Linked DNA regions of Schizosaccharomyces pombe. Changing the gene in region 1 together with any one later gene gives a genetic interaction. Each region holds a gene or a part of one and is shown on either strand. Other genes may lie near its edges. The genes, in order: rho3, apl4, scw1 and mug33.

Region 1 (3,871 bases):
GAAAAGATCGTGCTGAAGGTAAGTGTGATTTCATTTTCTGCGGCGGATAATAATTTAATATCTGTTTACGAATAATGTAAACATGTGTCTAATTTGTGTAGCTGTTGAAGAGCTCCTGTTACGTATGGCCAAAACGGGCCAGATATCTCATAAAATCTCAGAGCCCGAACTTATCGAATTGTTAGAAAAAATTTCTGGTGAGGTCTCCAAACGTAATGAAACAAAAATTGTGGTAAGTGCCTTACTAATTCCTTCTCTCCTTTTTTATTTCAAATTCATCTGAGGAGAGAAATATCAAAAAAAAACATCTGTTTATATTACATGGTCCAGAGTTTAACTGTTTAATTAGATCAATCGACGTGTTCAAGACGATGAGGATGACTGGGATCTTTAATTTAAAGGATAAAGACATAATAAATTTTGTTTTACTTTCAAATGGATCAAATTGAATTAGGGTTGCACGGATGCACGAATACAACATATTGGGTAGTCTAAATTTTTACAATTTTTAACTTCAATTACGATATTTAGGGGTAACACTTCATATTACATAAATATTTAAGGTGCTTTCTAAAACGGTAGGATTTGACTCAGACCCATGTCTTACAACCGAAAGACTAATCCTTATTGCTCAACAGTATGCTTATCGTAAAAGAAAAGGGGTAGATTAATTGATTAGATTAGCAACTCAACGATTACACGAACAGAAGGAGAATTGAACAACTCAAAGTGTACAAGTTTCAAAAAAGAAGGAAAGTAAGGTTCACTGCAAACACTCTTTTTCACGATTGTACAAATACCTGCTGTTTCAAGTAGGAAGGTAAGAAAGATAGACAATACACCTGAAATAAGGAGATAAACTCATTGGAAACGGACAGAATCCCCAAGTGTCAAATTTAAAACCTTGAGAACAGCAAAGGGGATAAAAGTCAAAAGTACAAACCATTGAAAAAAGGTTAACGCTATTCAAAGGCCACCGCAACACCCACACTAACGTCATATACAATAATAAACTTCGAACATTAGAAATAAGACTTTTAGGCGCTTTCAAAAGAAAGTGCTTTCAAGCAATGATACATCCGGTACCATGGGATTCATCAGCACCATCCTTTGTACCTCTTGGTTGCGCGGCAAGGGCAACGCGTGCAGCTTCCGTGAAAGCTTCATTTACGCCACGATTTAATTTAGCGCTGCATTCTAAATATCGTACAGCGTTGATTTTTTTTGCCGCTGCCAGTCCTTCCTCGTAATCAATAATTTTACTGTGATCAACTTGCTCCTCATCAGCTCCACGTAAATCACATTTTAGAGCAACAAGAACCAATTTAACACCAGGGCAATTACTAGAGACTTCCGGAAGCCATTTTGTGATTACATTTTCTAATGAGTCTCGTGAATCCACGGCAAAGCAGATCATAATAACATGTGTATCTGAATATGATAACGAACGCAGTTGATCATACTCTTCTTGACCAGCTGTATCCCATAGAGACAGTTCTATACTGTTTCCATCGACAAAGATATCATGAATGTAGTTTTCAAATCTATTTTTAGGTGTTAGATAACGGAAAAAGTTTTTAAGTACAAGAAGATAATCATGTAAAGAAGTGGTGAAAACCCTTAACAGGTCAAGCATAGTAAAAGCAATTTGACGTTTGGTCATGAGAAATTGTACGAGTGTGACTGTATGGAGAGCACACTCGGGCATTCTCGTTTTCCTCAGAAATGAAACAAATTTCCACAAATTAACCCGTTAGATAAAAGGTTTGCAAAAAAAGATGCTTCATATTGAGTTATACTTGATATTGCAGACGGTAACCTCATTTCCGCTCCGCCGTTTACAGCTTTGCACTATTAATGATACTTACATAGTAGGCTCGTATACCTGAGGGAAATAACCCTTAGTAAATACATTTAACAAACTGGTTTTACCAGCAGCACCTATAATTTACGGTTAGAATGCTTAGCTGCGAAAATCACGAAAGAAAAAACAAAATTTTCACCAAGATCCTTACCATCACCAAGAATTACGATTTTCCGATAAATAGGCTTCTTTTTACTTCCGAAACAGCTTGACATACTTTCAATGAGCTTCAATCAAGCTTTCTATGGGTTTTTCAATGGTTTCTGTATAATAAAGGATTAGAGGTGTTTGGTTTAGGTACGAATTTTGTACCATGAGCTAAAGCCTACGCAAGACCCCAGCTTACTGCTTAGCGAAGGACATACATGTCCTTGTGCGCTGTAGATTGGCTTCTACATTTCAGGTAACAATCAAATTTAGAATAATTAAGGCGATGCGAACCAGTTTATTAAAAGAGATACGGAAATACGTAATACAGAATGAACTTCGCAAGTAGGATTGTTTCATAATATATTTTGATGAGTAAAGCATTAATTCATTGATGAACAAAACCTTCGAAGGATAGTTTTACTAAAATATATTGGGGAAGTCTACTCTCAGTCTCAAAATGAAATACACGGTATATATAACGTGATTGCTAAATAGGAAGAAAATCAACAGCACCAGTTAGTGAAAGTTGACCAAGGGCTTGTCAATTTTGAGGCAACCCTTTCAATTGAAAGTTTAAAATTTAATTGAAAATCGTACTTTGATGAGTTTGAAAAAGGAGTCACACAATAGTACAACCAACTTTACCGTGGTTTGTTTCATGATAATAGTTTAATTTGCACAGCAACTGTTGGAATCATGAATTGAATAGCACCTTTAAAAGAAGAAAATTTTGTTTGACATTTGAATATGCTTTTAAACTTTTTGTGCCGCTTTATGGCTACTTTCCATTATGTCGTAAAGTGTTTTTGCCGAGTCATTCAGAGCATCTGTATAATGTTGAGTTAAAACAAGCCATTCGGCTACAAAAGAAAGCATCTGTAATTCCATCTGTTTTCTATGATAACCCAATTGGAATTGGAAAAACCATTCTTGAGAAGAATCGCAAATTTGAAACTCCTTCGCTACCTTTAACGTTGTTTCAAACGCCTCGCACAATTTGCTGTAAACCATCATACAGAATTTGAGCATTTGTTCAATTTGCTTTGCTAGTGACATAAATACCATCTTTACTGTGTTCGAGGTTGACACAGACGTTTTTTTCATAAGTGATTGATTTTTGTACAACCTTCTTTTTGCGCGCAATAATAGTCTACTACGTTCACTGATAAATACCATCTCTTGAGTTACATAATTATACATTTCTTCTGCGTAGCTTTTTGCATTTTTTGAAGATACGCTAATTTTCGTCAAATTAACTGTTACGTCCCCAAAGCTGGGATTATCATCACTCAAGCTTTTCATATAAGTCTTCCATTCCATTGGAGAATCAATTAGAAAACTGGACACCTGATTCTCCATTTTCTGTATTGTGAGGTTAAAATGTGAAGGGATCAATACACGTTTTCTCGTTTAGGTGCGCTGGTAACAACAAAAAAGTAACAAACAAAAGGAAAGTCAGCAAAACACATAATAAACCAACATGTAAAAAAGTGTTAGTGCAATTGCTTATGCCCTCAAATTTGTAATTGAGTGTTTATAAAGTTCATTTCCTTATGTGAATATTCGTATTATCAGTTATGACTCGTTGCTCTGCTTGCGACTTAAGTTTGCTACCATGCGTTTTTCTTACAACAATTCAGAGATTATTTTCATGATGATTGCTACCGGGTTGCATGAATTAACAACTTAGTTCAATTGTTTTGCTTTTACGATCAGTTTACCCTCTCTCATATTGCGGCGATAATCTGATATTTCAGAGAATTTTAGTTTTTCAAATTGCGAAAAAAAAAATTTTTCAACCAACTTGTATTTCATTGCTAGTGGTTTATTTCATTGATTGGTGAATGTGGTTTAAAG
Region 2 (5,276 bases), on another chromosome or scaffold:
AGAAAAGACTAAGAGAAAAATTGAAGAACAAAGTTCTGTTCCTGTTGAAGAACTAGATTTGGTAACTTTGCGACCTAAAAAGCCTACATGGGATTTAGAAAGAGATTTAAAAGAGCGAATGCGGTCTCTGGAAACACAAAATCAAAATGCAATAGCATTTTATATACAACAGTTAATTTCTGAACGTGCGCATAGTACTGAAAAAGCTTAAAGCAAGACTAATGCTTTCTAATGTTGGATTTACTCTCTGTTAGTTAATATATAATTCATAGGCTTAATTATTGCATTGATCAATTGTTAAAGGAAATAAGTTTAGGATTTTACATTTTATACTTTTCTAGTTGCGATTGTATTGGAGGTATGCACTTCTATTAAAATAATATTACAGCTTTAATTCTAAATCCGACCACTTCTTAATGAAGGGTTTGGAAGGTCAAATTTCCGTTCAATGATATACAATAAAGAATGAGCAAGTCTCAATTTGAAAATTACATAAGTGAACTTATCCAATAAGTATACCATGATTCCATATCGAGAAAATTGCTAAAATTATATAAAAAAAAACCTATTTTCTTTCATAAAAACAATTAGAGCTTTCATTTTCTATTACCTCATTATTCACTATTCTACGAACATTTTCTCGTAAAACTGACTAGACCCATCAAAAAGTGTAGCATGGATCATGTCAGAAATCTTCTTTGATAGCTCGAGCGTTATATTTTAAATGGCATTGTCCATACTTCGGATACTATTGTAAAAGGTCAGATGGCAACTTTCCAAAATCTACCTGATCGAGAGTATTTGATCCACCTTGTCGGACCACAGAGATACGTAGACGCAGTTTGACTTGAGAACCCGATGGCCCATGAACCCGCAGGGTTTGAGAAGTTTCTCCACCAGGCTCCATACTTGTAGTCCTCAAGGGCTGAATTTTCAGTTTCTGTGATTTGGGAACTGCCACTTCTAGATGTATTTTCTCAACCCTAGTCATTGGATTTTTATTTTTAAATTTAGCTTCAATGACGGCTGTTTTGGTACTTTCTTCTTTGGATGGCACCAAAGTTAACGTCACATCGTGTTTATCAAATACAACAATAGGAGGGTATGATTTGGAAGTTGATGGTATGGAAGAAAGCAAAGACAAGTTGTTTGATGGTTGGCTGGCTGAAGCATTAAAGTCCAAAGAAGCAAAGCTGCTTGCCAAGCTGTCAACCGGTTGAGCTGAAGGCGCCGGAGAAGCAAATAAACCAAGGATATCTTCAAAATGACTCTTTTTGGAAGTAGAAGGAGCGCGGCTTAAGCTGGATTGAGGGCTTTGAGTCATTTCATCCACTGGTGTTTCTAAGGGCTCAGCAACAGAAGGGGTAGTTAACCCAATGAGGTCTAGCAATTCGTTGCTTTCCTGAACACGTTTTTCTACGTGTTTGTTAGCCTTTAGCTTTTGCTCCGCATTTTGATAAGGCGTGGTCCTAGGAGGAGGCAGAGGAGCGGGAGTTGGTTCTAGAATTGTCTTGCTCAATTTGGAGTCATTTAATATAAGGTGGAACTCGACAGATCTTTGTTGCACCTCGGTGTTCTTGTTTCTCTTATAGGAATAAATTATCTTGTCAATACGAGAAGCAGTAGAAGAAGAACCTAGACGAGCACTTAACTTCGTGAGAGCGAAAAGACCATATTGAACAATTATGTACCTAGATGCTTCAACGCTATTAAATACTTCCTCAATAATGTCCACAATATCAGATTCTGAAACAGAATGAGGAAGGGTTTGATCATCATCAAAATTCATTGTTGGTGAAAGAAGCATCTGACCATATTCTCCAATTACCCAAAAAGCAGAAAGAGTTAAAGCTTCCTGAGATACATCTTCCTTTAAAGCAGCGTACAACTTTACCACAGCATATTCATGAAGTTCAGGAGCACTAGCTATGAGTCGTAAAAACGTTGAAAGAGTCGATTCACTGACAAAGTTGCCAGCAGATTTGAAGACTCGTAGAAGGGTATCGAAATGCCATCGCTTATTGGGAGCAAAAGCATTTGTGACTTCTGTAATATATTGAGCAGTGGATCCACGTAATTCATCAGAAACGTTATCAAGAAATGATAAAAGCTCACGCACCATGAAACGAACGTTCGCCTCATTAACGAGAAATGTAGAAAGTTCAAGCGCACGAGATTGAATAGAACTGTCGACATCATTAAGACAAGCAAGGATAGTTGATCGGTGACGCTGAACTGCATTTTCTTCACTATTTACAACGAGTTTCAGCATATTAAGAGCAACATAACGAGTGTTATTGTCACGATTACCTAAAAACTTTGCTAAAATATTGACCCCCAAAACTCGAAGGCTACTGTCAGAATTAAGATCAAGGATGGTACGCACAGCTTGATAAAGAATAGCATTACCTGCATTTCTAGAGGAATCAGTGTTAGTACAGACTTGAGCTAAAAGATCACTCATTTTGTCGTAAATTTTAGGGTTATTTTGACCAAGTATTGACAAAAACTGAAGGATTTTAACTTGCAAAAACGGATCAGATATATTGCCAATGTTATGCTCAGAGGAGTAAGTACTAGTGGACAATTGACGAATACGATAAATCAAATCGTCAGCTTGACTTTCAAATCGGGATATTAGCGACGGATTTATTTTGCAAGCACTGATGGCAAAAGCAAGAGCAGCCATTAAAACACCATGACTTTTTGAATGTAACAATTCATCGGTTTTCTCAATATATAAACTTTCCAAATCCGGTTCTTTTTGAATTACTCTAAGTGCACAGAGAACAGCCTTCTTTGATATATAATTATGATGGTTAGAGCAAAGTTCGGCTATGTCGTTTGACAAATCCCTTGCAAGCTCAGGGCCAGCGACATTACCAAACGCAGATAATGCCAACCCCACAATAAATTTGTCTCTAGATTTCAAGTCATTTTGAAGAGAATTTGTCAATAACGTCAAAACTTCCTGGTTCTCGTCTAACAGAAGCATAGCTGCTAGGTATCCCAAACGTTTATCCATGAATCGCGAACTCGACAACAATTTTAAACATTCAATCTGACCAAAGTGTGTCGGCTCACCGAGTAGAAATAAATATAGCAGCTTGGCAACATTTTTTCTGCGCATACGCATGTCATTAGAACCTTGACGAATGTTTTTTCTGATTTGAGCCGACTCTTTGAGAATCGTTGTGTGCTCCTCAGCAGTCGTTTTGGATGCCCGAACAGCCTTTATAAAAGATTTTAAACTTGACATCTTTGGATGCGTCTTTGGGGAATTGGTGAAACCTCTTTCCACTCCCGAACAAGTAAGATGCAGGTTCTTTGGATGTGTTGTTTGCATTACTTGGCTGTTGCTTGTACATGCGGTAGGGTATTGCACGGTAAATTTCTTTAAAACGAATTTAACGTTGCGACTCTTTCGTCAATCTATCAATAATGAATACTAAAAAATATGCTTTAAATAAAATAAATTTTAATTTGTTTTGTTGCTGCTGTGTTACGTTAAGTCAGCTGAAGTGTCTTTTTTTATAATTCCTAGTTTTTATTAAGCAGATGTAAATACCATTTATATTGATTAACTTAATATTATGTTACCACTTATTGCAAGTACATTTAAGAAGGTGTACTATGGCTAAGAGTTGAATATTTTTTAGGTATGGTTTTTGTGCTTTTCAGTAATCATATTACGTTTAATACACATTCCCTTATTAGAGGTTCTTAATAAAATCCATGTGCAATACTAAAGTTATCTTTCCATCCGTACCAATATTCACTGAGATATTTTACGTTCCTACTATAATTGATTCCAGTAAATATTAACTTGCATTTCTATGAGATGTATTGAAAGCAAACAGAAAAACGCAATCTAAACACAGAATATATAAAACAATGAAAATCAAATCAATTTCACTTAACAAAATAGGATGCAGCTTTAAACGACGCTCAAAACTGATGCATTCACCAATACTGCACAAATTAAAAGAATACCTAGCTTCCTTTGGTTATCTGTGTAATTTTTGAATTATCCTATCGAATTTGCTATATGGAGTTGTTAATTGATGGGCAATATCTGGAATTTATGTTTCTCTATTCGTTCTTGACCACGCTATGTGGCTTTGCTTCTTAACTATGCAGTTTGTAACCAGTTTTAATGGCACGTTAAATCACAGTGAGTTGTATTTGTGCACTACTATATTGCGATATGCAGGTAACGCGAAAATCGGGTATTAAGGTGTTATTGTAAATTATTATTGAAATGCTCATAATATGTAAACTAAGGGAAAAAGGTTCGATTGAGCATTCTTTTTTGTTTGTACCTGTCAGTCATTTGGTAATAAGCTACAATAAGCAAGTGCCAATGTCGTATCACATATAGCGGATAAATGAATAGGACATGTGATATATAGTGATACGTAACGAAATTTTACATAACGTGGTGTAGTATTGCAGATATTGCTGAGATCAGGTGGTTCATCGTCTTAGCTCGCAATTCTAACTTATCAACTCCTTTGCTCATTTTGAAACTGGAGACTTGGCTTTTCCTTACATAAATCGCATAGAACGTGAATTGCTTAGGAGTTCGAGCTTTTTATTTACTTCCATTCTATAGTGGAACATTTGGCATAGAATTTTTATTTTTGGAATCACGACTGTGGAGTTTTCGTCATACCAGTTCTGTCATCTTGAAATTCCAAGTTGGAACTTCCATCAATAGATTACATTTCTAAGTTTCTTGCTTTCATTCCTCAATTTTTTATTTAGAAGCGAAGCAAAAAATAAATTTAATCTTCCTACGTTCATATCCGCTTCTTTTTCAATTTCTTTGATACTGTTCGCGATACGTAGCTGCTGATTTTACGTTATTTTTTTGTTTTATCTTTTTCTTTATATATTTATCTTTTTTGTTATATATTCACTTAGTTGCTTTAATTGCTGGTTATTTAAAGATGATTGCTGCAACACCCGCTAAATCCAAACCATCGGATGTCAACTTGGAACAGACGTTCAAAGGTGTTTCTGAAACCTCAAAAATTGACCTTCGAAGGTCTAGGGCCGCTTACCGACCTCTGGAATTATCTCCTACTCCCTCGATTTTTGCTCGTAATTATCAACGTAATGCGGTAGACTTTACTGGATTTTTTGTGTTATTTTGGGTTGCTGTCTCTATTATGATTTTCATGAGCTTTTTAGAAAATTTCGAATTGACTGGAAGACCAGTTGTTGGCACTATTTTTAAATACTTTCAGTCTAATTTGTTAGATCTGGCAAAG
Region 3 (4,176 bases), on another chromosome or scaffold:
AAGCATGCCTAAAGTTCCTCGCAATTTTAAAAAAAGTAAATCAATTTCAACTTAATAGGGAAAGGACGGGATTACTATTATACAGTTTTTGTTGGAAATATTTTATTCACCTAGACTATACTAATATTTATAAAAGGATTAAGTGTTTGCTTATCAATGTATCCTAAAAATTCTTGTATGTAAGCTTAAGTTGGGTGTTACAATAAAAATACATCTAACCAAGTTGTTACAGTACTTGTTTAGCAATTTAAGATGGGTTCATTTAGAAGCAAAAGTCGATATTATTATGTAAATTGATATGTGTAGCAGAAGTATATGGAAATGATGAGCAAATGATAAATCCTAATGACAACTAAACAATGCAAGTACCCATCTTATATAAGAGTGAAATAAAACAGATCGCATAAATCGACAAATTGTAATTAAGCTTAACAGATGGTTAAAGTTGCATGCAGTCAAAGTGGAATAGATCGCAACTTTTGATTAACAAAGAATCAATATGCAAAACTCAAAAAAAAAAAAAGAGAAACAATATGCTTAAAAAATTTGGACCTAAAGTCCTTGCAAGGTATTGATGAATAATGATAAAATGAAGACGAGAAAATGCTAGATGAGCTATTTGCCATACATTAGATTATTACCCCAACTGGGACTGGCGTGGACTTCGTTATGTCCACCAGTATGATTAAGCAAAGAGTCTGTATTGTAATTATTCATGGAACCAGAGTGAAGGTTACGAACGTTTCCATTATGGTTGTTATGCGATGAACTTGATGAGCGCACTCCCAATGGGTTCTTCGAAAAACTCAAACGAATACCACCTTTAATGCTACTGCTAAGACAAACACCTTGTAAATTCTTCAAGGCTTCCATGGCGTATGGAATGTTTTCAAATTCAACAAAACACATGGGGCCATTGCCTTTAGTGCGGAAACAAAGTCTTTTGTATCCAACTTGAGTGGAAAACAAAACTTTCAACTCTTCCTCGGAAGTAGAAGGAGGAAGATTTCCAACATAAATGGTGTTACAAGGAGGATTTTGATCAGCAGGGTTGGTATTCGTGGGGGTAGAAGCAGGGATGCGTTGATGAATTCCATGACTGGAGGAATAAGCCGAAAATGGTGTGGAAGGTGAAATGGTAGAAGCTGAAAATGGGTAGTCTCTTGATGTTGATGGTGTCAAGGGAGGAGGGCTTGTTGTACTGAATGCACTGTTTGCCGAAAAGACACGAGGATGGGGTGATTGAGCACTAGAATTTTGGGTATGAGCGCTATAACCCTTTTCAGATGAAAGGTAATTGCGCGCCACGTTGGTGTTAATAGATAATGAGTTAAATCGCAAAATCGGAGGAACACCGTCTTGACGCAAATTGGTACTACTTTTGGAAGGAGTGGGTGACCACGTAGGTGAACCAACTTCATCCTTGGCTAACACATTCGCGAGTGTTAAAGGATAAGAAACAGGGAAAGAAGACCACAACCTATCGGAATGCAAACTACCTCCATTGTTAGGAGCCTGAAAAGTGCTATCACCCAAAGGTGTTTTTGAATGACGATAAGCAGATTCCGAATGATTTGCAGTAGGCATACTGGCTGACACATGATTACTTGACCTGCGGAAAAGATCACGATTTCCTAACAGTGGACGAGTTGGAGAATGGTTTCGAGACAGTCTGTTAAATGAAACACTACTCTCAGAGCCCTCAGTTTCGTCGCTAAGATTTGTTTGACTTCCCTTTCGATAATTGTCTAAAATTATCATGCTGCACGCGGAATAAACATCGCTAGATAGCAAAGTGTCTCTAGCAGATGCAGCAGCATCTCGGGATGAAAACACCGCCAATCCATGAGCAACTTCATTATCCACGGATACAGGATTAAGCTCGACGGATACTACATTCGTAGCGAATAAAAAGGTACATAAAAACTCTCTGGGTGTTAAGTCCCTAGGTAAATCCTCAATCCGCAAAGCATAATATCTAGGAAAACCGAATCCAACCTTAGGAGGAGCAGAGGCTAATCCACCGTTGAGGTTAGAGAGGAGTCTACCAATCGGAGTTGTGGATTTTTCCACAGATGCATAAGTAGGTAAACCGTCAGATTCAGCTTTCCCAGCTTGGCTGTGAATAGCCTGAGGAGACATGTGAAGAGCATGACATTCATCATCTCCATTCAGAATACCGGTTGGAACCAACGATGAACCACGTAGCGCATCTTCAGTAAACTCGGTTTCGTCCCCGACTTTGGTCTTACTGGATAACGATAAAGGCTTTTCAATAGCGCTCGGTGATCCCACAAACATTTTGCAAATTATATATAATGGTAATTGAAAAGAAGAGAAAAAAGAATGACAAAGTGGTTGATAAAGTAACCAAAATAAGCAATAGATGCCTAAAAGTAAAACACAAATGAAATAGCAGTAGTTGTTAAATAAACCCCAAACGATAATAAATGAGGCTTCAAGCTTAATAACACGAAATAGTTAATAAGTGGAGTAAAAAGTTAGAAACCTAGTTGGTCGACTAAAAAGAAAGTGTGTAAGTAATAAAAATAAGCAAGGGCAATGAAGAAAAATAAAAAATTCAGTAAAAATTGTTAGCAAGTATTAGAAAAATCCAAATACTTGACGCGAAAGAATTAGAAGGGCAACAACCTAGAATACTGGACGAAGATAATAAAAGAAAGACTGTAACTTCAAGAAAACGAGAGCAAAGGGTAAACTGTTGACCACCACAAATAATTCTAGTTGCTAAAAGAGAGACAGATACAACTGTGAAGCAAAAAACACAAACTGAAAATGAAAAAAAGATGACTGAAATATGCAAAAATACCGAGCTAACAAAAAGTCTAGGGCAAGGCTTATGAGGAAGAAATCGTCAAAAGTATCGATAAAAAGACTTCGAAGGTATTCGAAATGCTTAAAAAAATCAGTTAGCGATTTTTTTTTTTTCAAAAAAAAAGAAATGGTTGCAGATGGAAAAATAAAATAAACAATCAACTTTTCAATCAGCAGAGTATAAACAAATATACAAACAAGTAAACAAAAGACACTTGTTTTTTTTTGGAGAGGTAAATCAAAGGAAAGCAATCGGGCAAAAAGTGAGAAGCAAATAAAATATACCGCTATCAACAAAGAGTAAATATCCAACAACAAGAACAATCAAGATAGAAGTAAAATTGCTGGGAAGATTGGCAAAACGTAAGCAAAAGAAGTATGAACACGGTTTATAAAGGAGCGAAGAATGAAAGGAAAAGCAAAATAAAAGAAGCTTTTCTAAGTAACGTTAAATAAGAGAGATCAAGTTAAAAGAAAAAAGGCAAAAAGATTCCAAGAAATTTCAAATAAAAAGAAAAAAACTAAGAAGTAAAGTGAATATGAAATCTTTGTGAAAAAATGATTGAAACTTGATCAAAATAATAATAAGGCATAAAATAGGGTCAGAAGAAAAAACAAAGAGGGAAGAAAGAGAAAAAAAAAAGAAAAAGAATAAAACAAAAAAGGTAACCCACACAAAAACGAAGAGACTAAATATTATATAAATGTCACAAAACTTTGTATGAACAAAAAGATGGGCAAAAAAAAAGACCAAACGTTTAATAAGCAAATACCCTTAAGTAATGAGTAAAAGGCGGAAGAAATGAATCAACGAAATCAAACGAGTGAATAAAATTTCGAAAAAAAAAAAAATAAGGAGCCGGGTATCTGAATGAAAACGAATCGTGACTATTTTATGGATTGAGAATAGGGAAATCCTAAAAACACAAAATTGTTTAGTGGGGATAGAAATGGATAGATATGAAAATGAAATGAATAATGAAAGGAGGTCGAATAAAAACCCAGTTGAAAAACTATTTATGGCCAAAATTCAACAAAGCAACAAATGGCTAAAGTTCAATGAAAGGGTACAGAAAAATAAAAAAGAAAAGTAAGACTTTCAACACACACGTTGTGCTTCCGAAACGGATATAATTTTCCTTGTCGTGCAGGCTGAGTCAACGAGCCCCTAAGATGAAAAAATGAGAATTTCCGTAAAAACAATGAAAAGAAAATATTTAATAGGGAGAAACCGAGGAACGCAATAAATAGCAAAACAACCAAGACTGAGAATGCAAAAAAGAAAAAAGAAAAACAAGCGTTATTAGATGAATGAAAGGACAATCGAAAACTAATCCAAAT
Region 4 (4,140 bases), on another chromosome or scaffold:
AATAGAATCAAAAAGATGCGAAATTTATGTGATATATTGGCAAACCTGAAACAGTTAAACGTACTGGATCTGCGCATGAATCCTCTTAATTTCAACATTTATCCCGTAATTGACGACTCTATTTATGAGCTCTCTGCAGCCTCAAAATACCAACAAAGTATCAACCAAAAAGGTCATCATAGAAAAGAAGACCCGCAAAAGCAATGGCAGGAGAAAGAGCTGGCCTTTAGTTCCACTTTGTCTGAGGCATGGAGAACAAGAAGAAAAATGTATGCTGAAGCTATTTTATTGGCATGTCCACACTTAGAATGGTTGGATGGATCTGATGTTTCACAATCATCTCGCGCTGCATTCACCAAATCATCCAACTAGTATGACTTGTGAAGATATAGCTTGAAACATTTTTACCTTTCAAATAGCAAGATTGTTTCGCTGTTGTGTAAAGGTTAATAATCACAATACATAATACACCATAATACTCGCCATTACCATAGTGTAAATAATAATTCGATTTCTGGATGGCACATACAAAATGAATAAGCATAATGAAACGTGAAGGTCGTCTAAAAATATATATATATTAAAAAAAAAGAAAAAGAACCCTATTGAAAGAATAAAAAATAAAAGAAAACCCCTCCAACTCTTCTTACATTCAACTAGCTTAAAACAGATAAATTCTATTGAGAAACAGTGACATTAAACACACACATATGTACCATATAAGTATCAACTAAATAAAGGAAAAAGGTAAAGGGGGGACGGTTAAAAAATGCTTTGAAAGTGAAATTAGAAAACATGTAGAGATGATAAATGATAGATAAAACTCGATTGGTCGATAATTTACGAGCGGCCCCATGAAAATCTGCTGGGCTTCTTGTCGTTATTGGCTTGAACATCATTAATCGACCATGGATTTGGAGCTGGAGCTGAAGCGGGATCTTTAAAGGGATTTTCAGGATCTCTAAACGGATTTTCAGGAGCCTGTTCTGCAGGCTTATTGCGCATAAACGGAAAGCGGAAGCCCGAGTTAGATTTCGGAACGGGAACGGGCTCACGAACAGTTGGGGCATAGGAAGACAGAGAACGACTATCGTTGCTAAAAGTAGGCTTCAATTTTGAGACAGAGCCTCCACGCTTGAGACCATCATCCTCGGAAATGGTATCGTACATAGGCTTTTCGGCAGAATAATCGCTGAATTTGGGAAGGTCTCCCTTGCGAGAAGAAGTAGAAAAGATATTGCTGCTGTTTTGCAAAGAGTACGGATTGTAACCCAAGCTGCCAGAGGTGGCGCGACGAAGATGCTTGGCCTGTAACCTTGTGGCTTGTCTGCGTGCAACAAGGAGTAAAAGCAAGACGATGAGTTGAATGCCGACATTGGCGAGCACAAGCCATGACGGCCATTGAATATGGGGGACAAAAGTGATGACACAGATAACGAAAGCAATGGCGGTGATAAAAATGTTAAAGAATGTTATGGTTCCAATGACATTGAAGAAGCCGGGAGAGCGGGCAATGGCACCAATGTGGGCGAATATAGTCATAATGGTGGATATGAGACAGATGCAGGCAGACACGGGAACAATCACCAAGCCGTAGGAAGCTCTTTGACGCACAATAACGGAGGTACGAAATCCGTCCTTTGCATGTTCATCAAGGTAATCCGAGTTGTAACCAACTAAAGGCTTGCTGCAATTTGAATTTAAGCAGTAACCGAAAACGCCAAATCTAACGTCTCCATACTTTCCTAAAGTAAGATTGTTTGCAAGAGGAGGAGTACATATAGCTAAGACGAAAAAGACAATGGCGATAACCAGTAAGATAAGGGAAGGAGTAGCACTACGAATCCGCATTTTTTAAAAAAAAGCGGAAAAGCTTTGGAGGGTGATTTGAGAGAGTAGTTTTTGAGCTTTTGCTAGCTACCAACAAAGTTCAACTTTGCACGGTTAGGATTTAAAGATTTCCTTTTTGTTCCTCTACAGCGAGAAACGATCAAAAAAGAGATGAAATCCGAGGGGAAGGCAGAAGTTGAGAAAGGGCAATTTGGTACGTAGCAATGAACGAAAAGGCTCTCAATTCGACTAAAAGTGTTTAAATTACCAATTCCTAATATGGAAAAAAGAAATAATTTGTCCTTGAAGTCGCTTTTATGTATTTGGCGGAAAGGCGATTTTTGGTGGTGAGATATGATGAGGTTTTTGTTGTTGGTTGTGGTTGAGTTAAACGTTGTTTGACTTCATTCCCCCTTTGCGCCACACTTCAGTAGTACGGTACGCTACGCAACTGAACGCTAAACATTGCTAAGGTAAATTTGTACCGAGGTAGAAGAATGCACACGGTGCGTTACTACAGTATATGGGTAGAATTACGAAGGTACGGGAGGAGCAGAATGTTCACAAGCAACAACTCCCATCTCCTTGAAAACATCGTAAAAAAGCGAATTTGTTAGTGTAATGAGCATGATGAATCGTAACATTGGCTTCCTATCCAGAACATTGAAGACGAGCGTTCCTAAGAGAGCGGGTTTGCTCAGCTTTCGAGCTTATAGTAACGAAGCAAAGGTGAACTGGCTTGAAGAGGTTCAAGCAGAAGAGGAGCATGCAAAGCGTAGCAGTGGTATGTGAATTGTGGGAATAGAAATTTATCTTACTAACGGGTTTATAGAATTCTGGAAGAAAGTGACTTATTAGTATGAACATGAGGAAGTGAAGAATTTGTGTGGTAGCTAACATTTGCCAGCATTGGTGGACCAGCATTGATATTGGCTAGTGCCAATGCGTATTATATTTGTACGTAAAAGTGTAATGTGAAGATTTGCAACGACTAACAAGAGATAGATTGCAAGCATCAAGAGCATGCCAAGCATGTTGAAGATACGGACCCTGGTTATAGGTATGAAGAAGATAGAGAAGAAATGAAAGGAAGGGACTAATGAATGGTTTAGCTTTGAAAATTTGCGCTTCAAAAAGTATCCATGGGGAGACGGTAGCAAGACACTTTTCTGGTAAGATGAGAATGAGAGAGAAGAGAGGAAAGAAGGGAGAGATTATGTTTGTATGAGACAAGGAAATTTACTAATGATATACAGGAATGATAAAGTCAATCATTTAAAGAAGGATGATGAATAGGCATAGCGTTCTTTAAGCCTTTTTGCACGACTCAATTAACCCCCATACCATGTAGCAAGCAAAGAAGAACGAATAAGGTGTTGGAGGGATGCATAACGGAAAGTGTGTTTTTAGCAATGCTAAAAGGTAATAGTGAGACCATACGGGTTTGTATTGCCAATAGCTGTTTTCTTATCAATAGTGACTTTCAGCATTGGATTCGTTATTTGTTTAGCGACGTACAGTGAATAATCATTGATTTCTGAAAAAGCAGAAAAGAGAGATGAGGTAGTTGAAGGAGGATATGGAGACAGTTGCATACTATGTAAACAAAATGAATAAGTGATGAGACTGAAAGTTGGCATGCGAAAAAGAGAACGAATATATATACAAATCATTAATATGCTACAAGTAGTTCACAGTCTGTTTCTATCCTTTTGACTTTTTTATTTTTACTGTTTAAAATTATATTTTGCATTAGTATATATGTAACATTAAGATTATAAGGAATTATTAATCTCAAGATAATAATGAGTTTTGTAGGAGTGTTTTTCAAGGAAGAAACGTATTCAAGGAAATGGAAAAGTGTTTACAAAGCTATAACATATTGTATTTGAAAAAAGTTTTATTTTGATTAACTGGGATCGTAACTAGAATGTGAAAATGTTTCTAGTGTAGAGACATAATATAATAAGAAAAGGACTTGAAAAATAGCGGATGCGAGCGTTACCTAACGAGAGTGGGCAACATGGTAAAAGGGAAAAGGAAGGAGAAGAAAAATGGTGCAGCGAGCAAATAATCCAAAGGCACCTAATATGACTATGAGTGGTAGCGTGGTGTTTGTGCGATGAGTTACACCAAGTAGGAATTAAGGGAAATAAAACGAGACGAAAGGAAAAGAAAATAAAATAAAAGGGAAAAAAAATAAAAATAAAAACTTGAGTGGAAAAAAGGAAACATGAACCCTAAAAAATAAAAATAAAAGGGAAGAATGAAAACCAAAAATAAAAGTGAGGAATGAAAACAAAAAATTTA

Evidence for each region.
Region 2: of rho3 (region 1) and apl4, extra expression of one rescues a mutant of the other (dosage rescue), as found in Schizosaccharomyces pombe (one study listed by BioGRID).
Region 3: mutations in rho3 (region 1) and scw1 impair growth when combined (synthetic growth defect), as found in Schizosaccharomyces pombe (one study listed by BioGRID).
Region 4: mutations in rho3 (region 1) and mug33 impair growth when combined (synthetic growth defect), as found in Schizosaccharomyces pombe (one study listed by BioGRID).

The regions. Positions count from the first base shown.
Region 1 is NC_003424.3:1,039,743-1,043,613, reverse strand, and holds rho3 (Rho family GTPase Rho3), read right to left. Parts: upstream 2,166-3,871; 5' UTR 2,080-2,165; coding exon 2,016-2,079; intron 1,942-2,015; coding exon 1,869-1,941; intron 1,635-1,868; exon of another isoform or gene 1,545-1,634; coding exon 1,064-1,544; 3' UTR 531-1,063; downstream 1-530. Other genes in the region: SPOM_SPAC23C4.09C (chaperonin-containing T-complex associated protein), read left to right, coding at 1-18, 102-232, 350-394; karyogamy protein Tht2, read right to left, coding at 2,768-3,373. UniProt on the Schizosaccharomyces pombe protein: Involved in controlling cell shape and septation. Regulates cell separation by modulating the function of the exocyst complex. Involved in post-Golgi vesicle transport. Involved in driving sexual development in a palmitoylation-dependent manner.
Region 2 is NC_003421.2:2,400,050-2,405,325, reverse strand, and holds apl4 (AP-1 adaptor complex gamma subunit Apl4), read right to left. Parts: upstream 3,330-5,276; 5' UTR 3,260-3,329; coding exon 749-3,259; 3' UTR 523-748; downstream 1-522. Other genes in the region: protein Cwf18, read left to right, coding at 1-211; acyl-coA-sterol acyltransferase Are2, read left to right, coding at 4,953-5,276. UniProt on the Schizosaccharomyces pombe protein: Adaptins are components of the adaptor complexes which link clathrin to receptors in coated vesicles. Clathrin-associated protein complexes are believed to interact with the cytoplasmic tails of membrane proteins, leading to their selection and concentration.
Region 3 is NC_003421.2:671,601-675,776, reverse strand, and holds scw1 (RNA-binding protein Scw1), read right to left. Parts: upstream 2,302-4,176; coding exon 616-2,301; 3' UTR 526-615; downstream 1-525. Other genes in the region: p21-activated protein kinase inhibitor Skb15, read left to right, coding at 1-12.
Region 4 is NC_003421.2:2,045,647-2,049,786, reverse strand, and holds mug33 (protein mug33), read right to left. Parts: upstream 2,209-4,140; 5' UTR 1,852-2,208; coding exon 841-1,851; 3' UTR 501-840; downstream 1-500. Other genes in the region: SIN component scaffold protein cdc11, read left to right, coding at 1-372; cox13 (cytochrome c oxidase subunit VIa), read left to right, coding at 2,452-2,614, 2,663-2,687, 2,738-2,787, 2,836-2,890, 2,943-3,002, 3,087-3,126. UniProt on the Schizosaccharomyces pombe protein: Has a role in meiosis.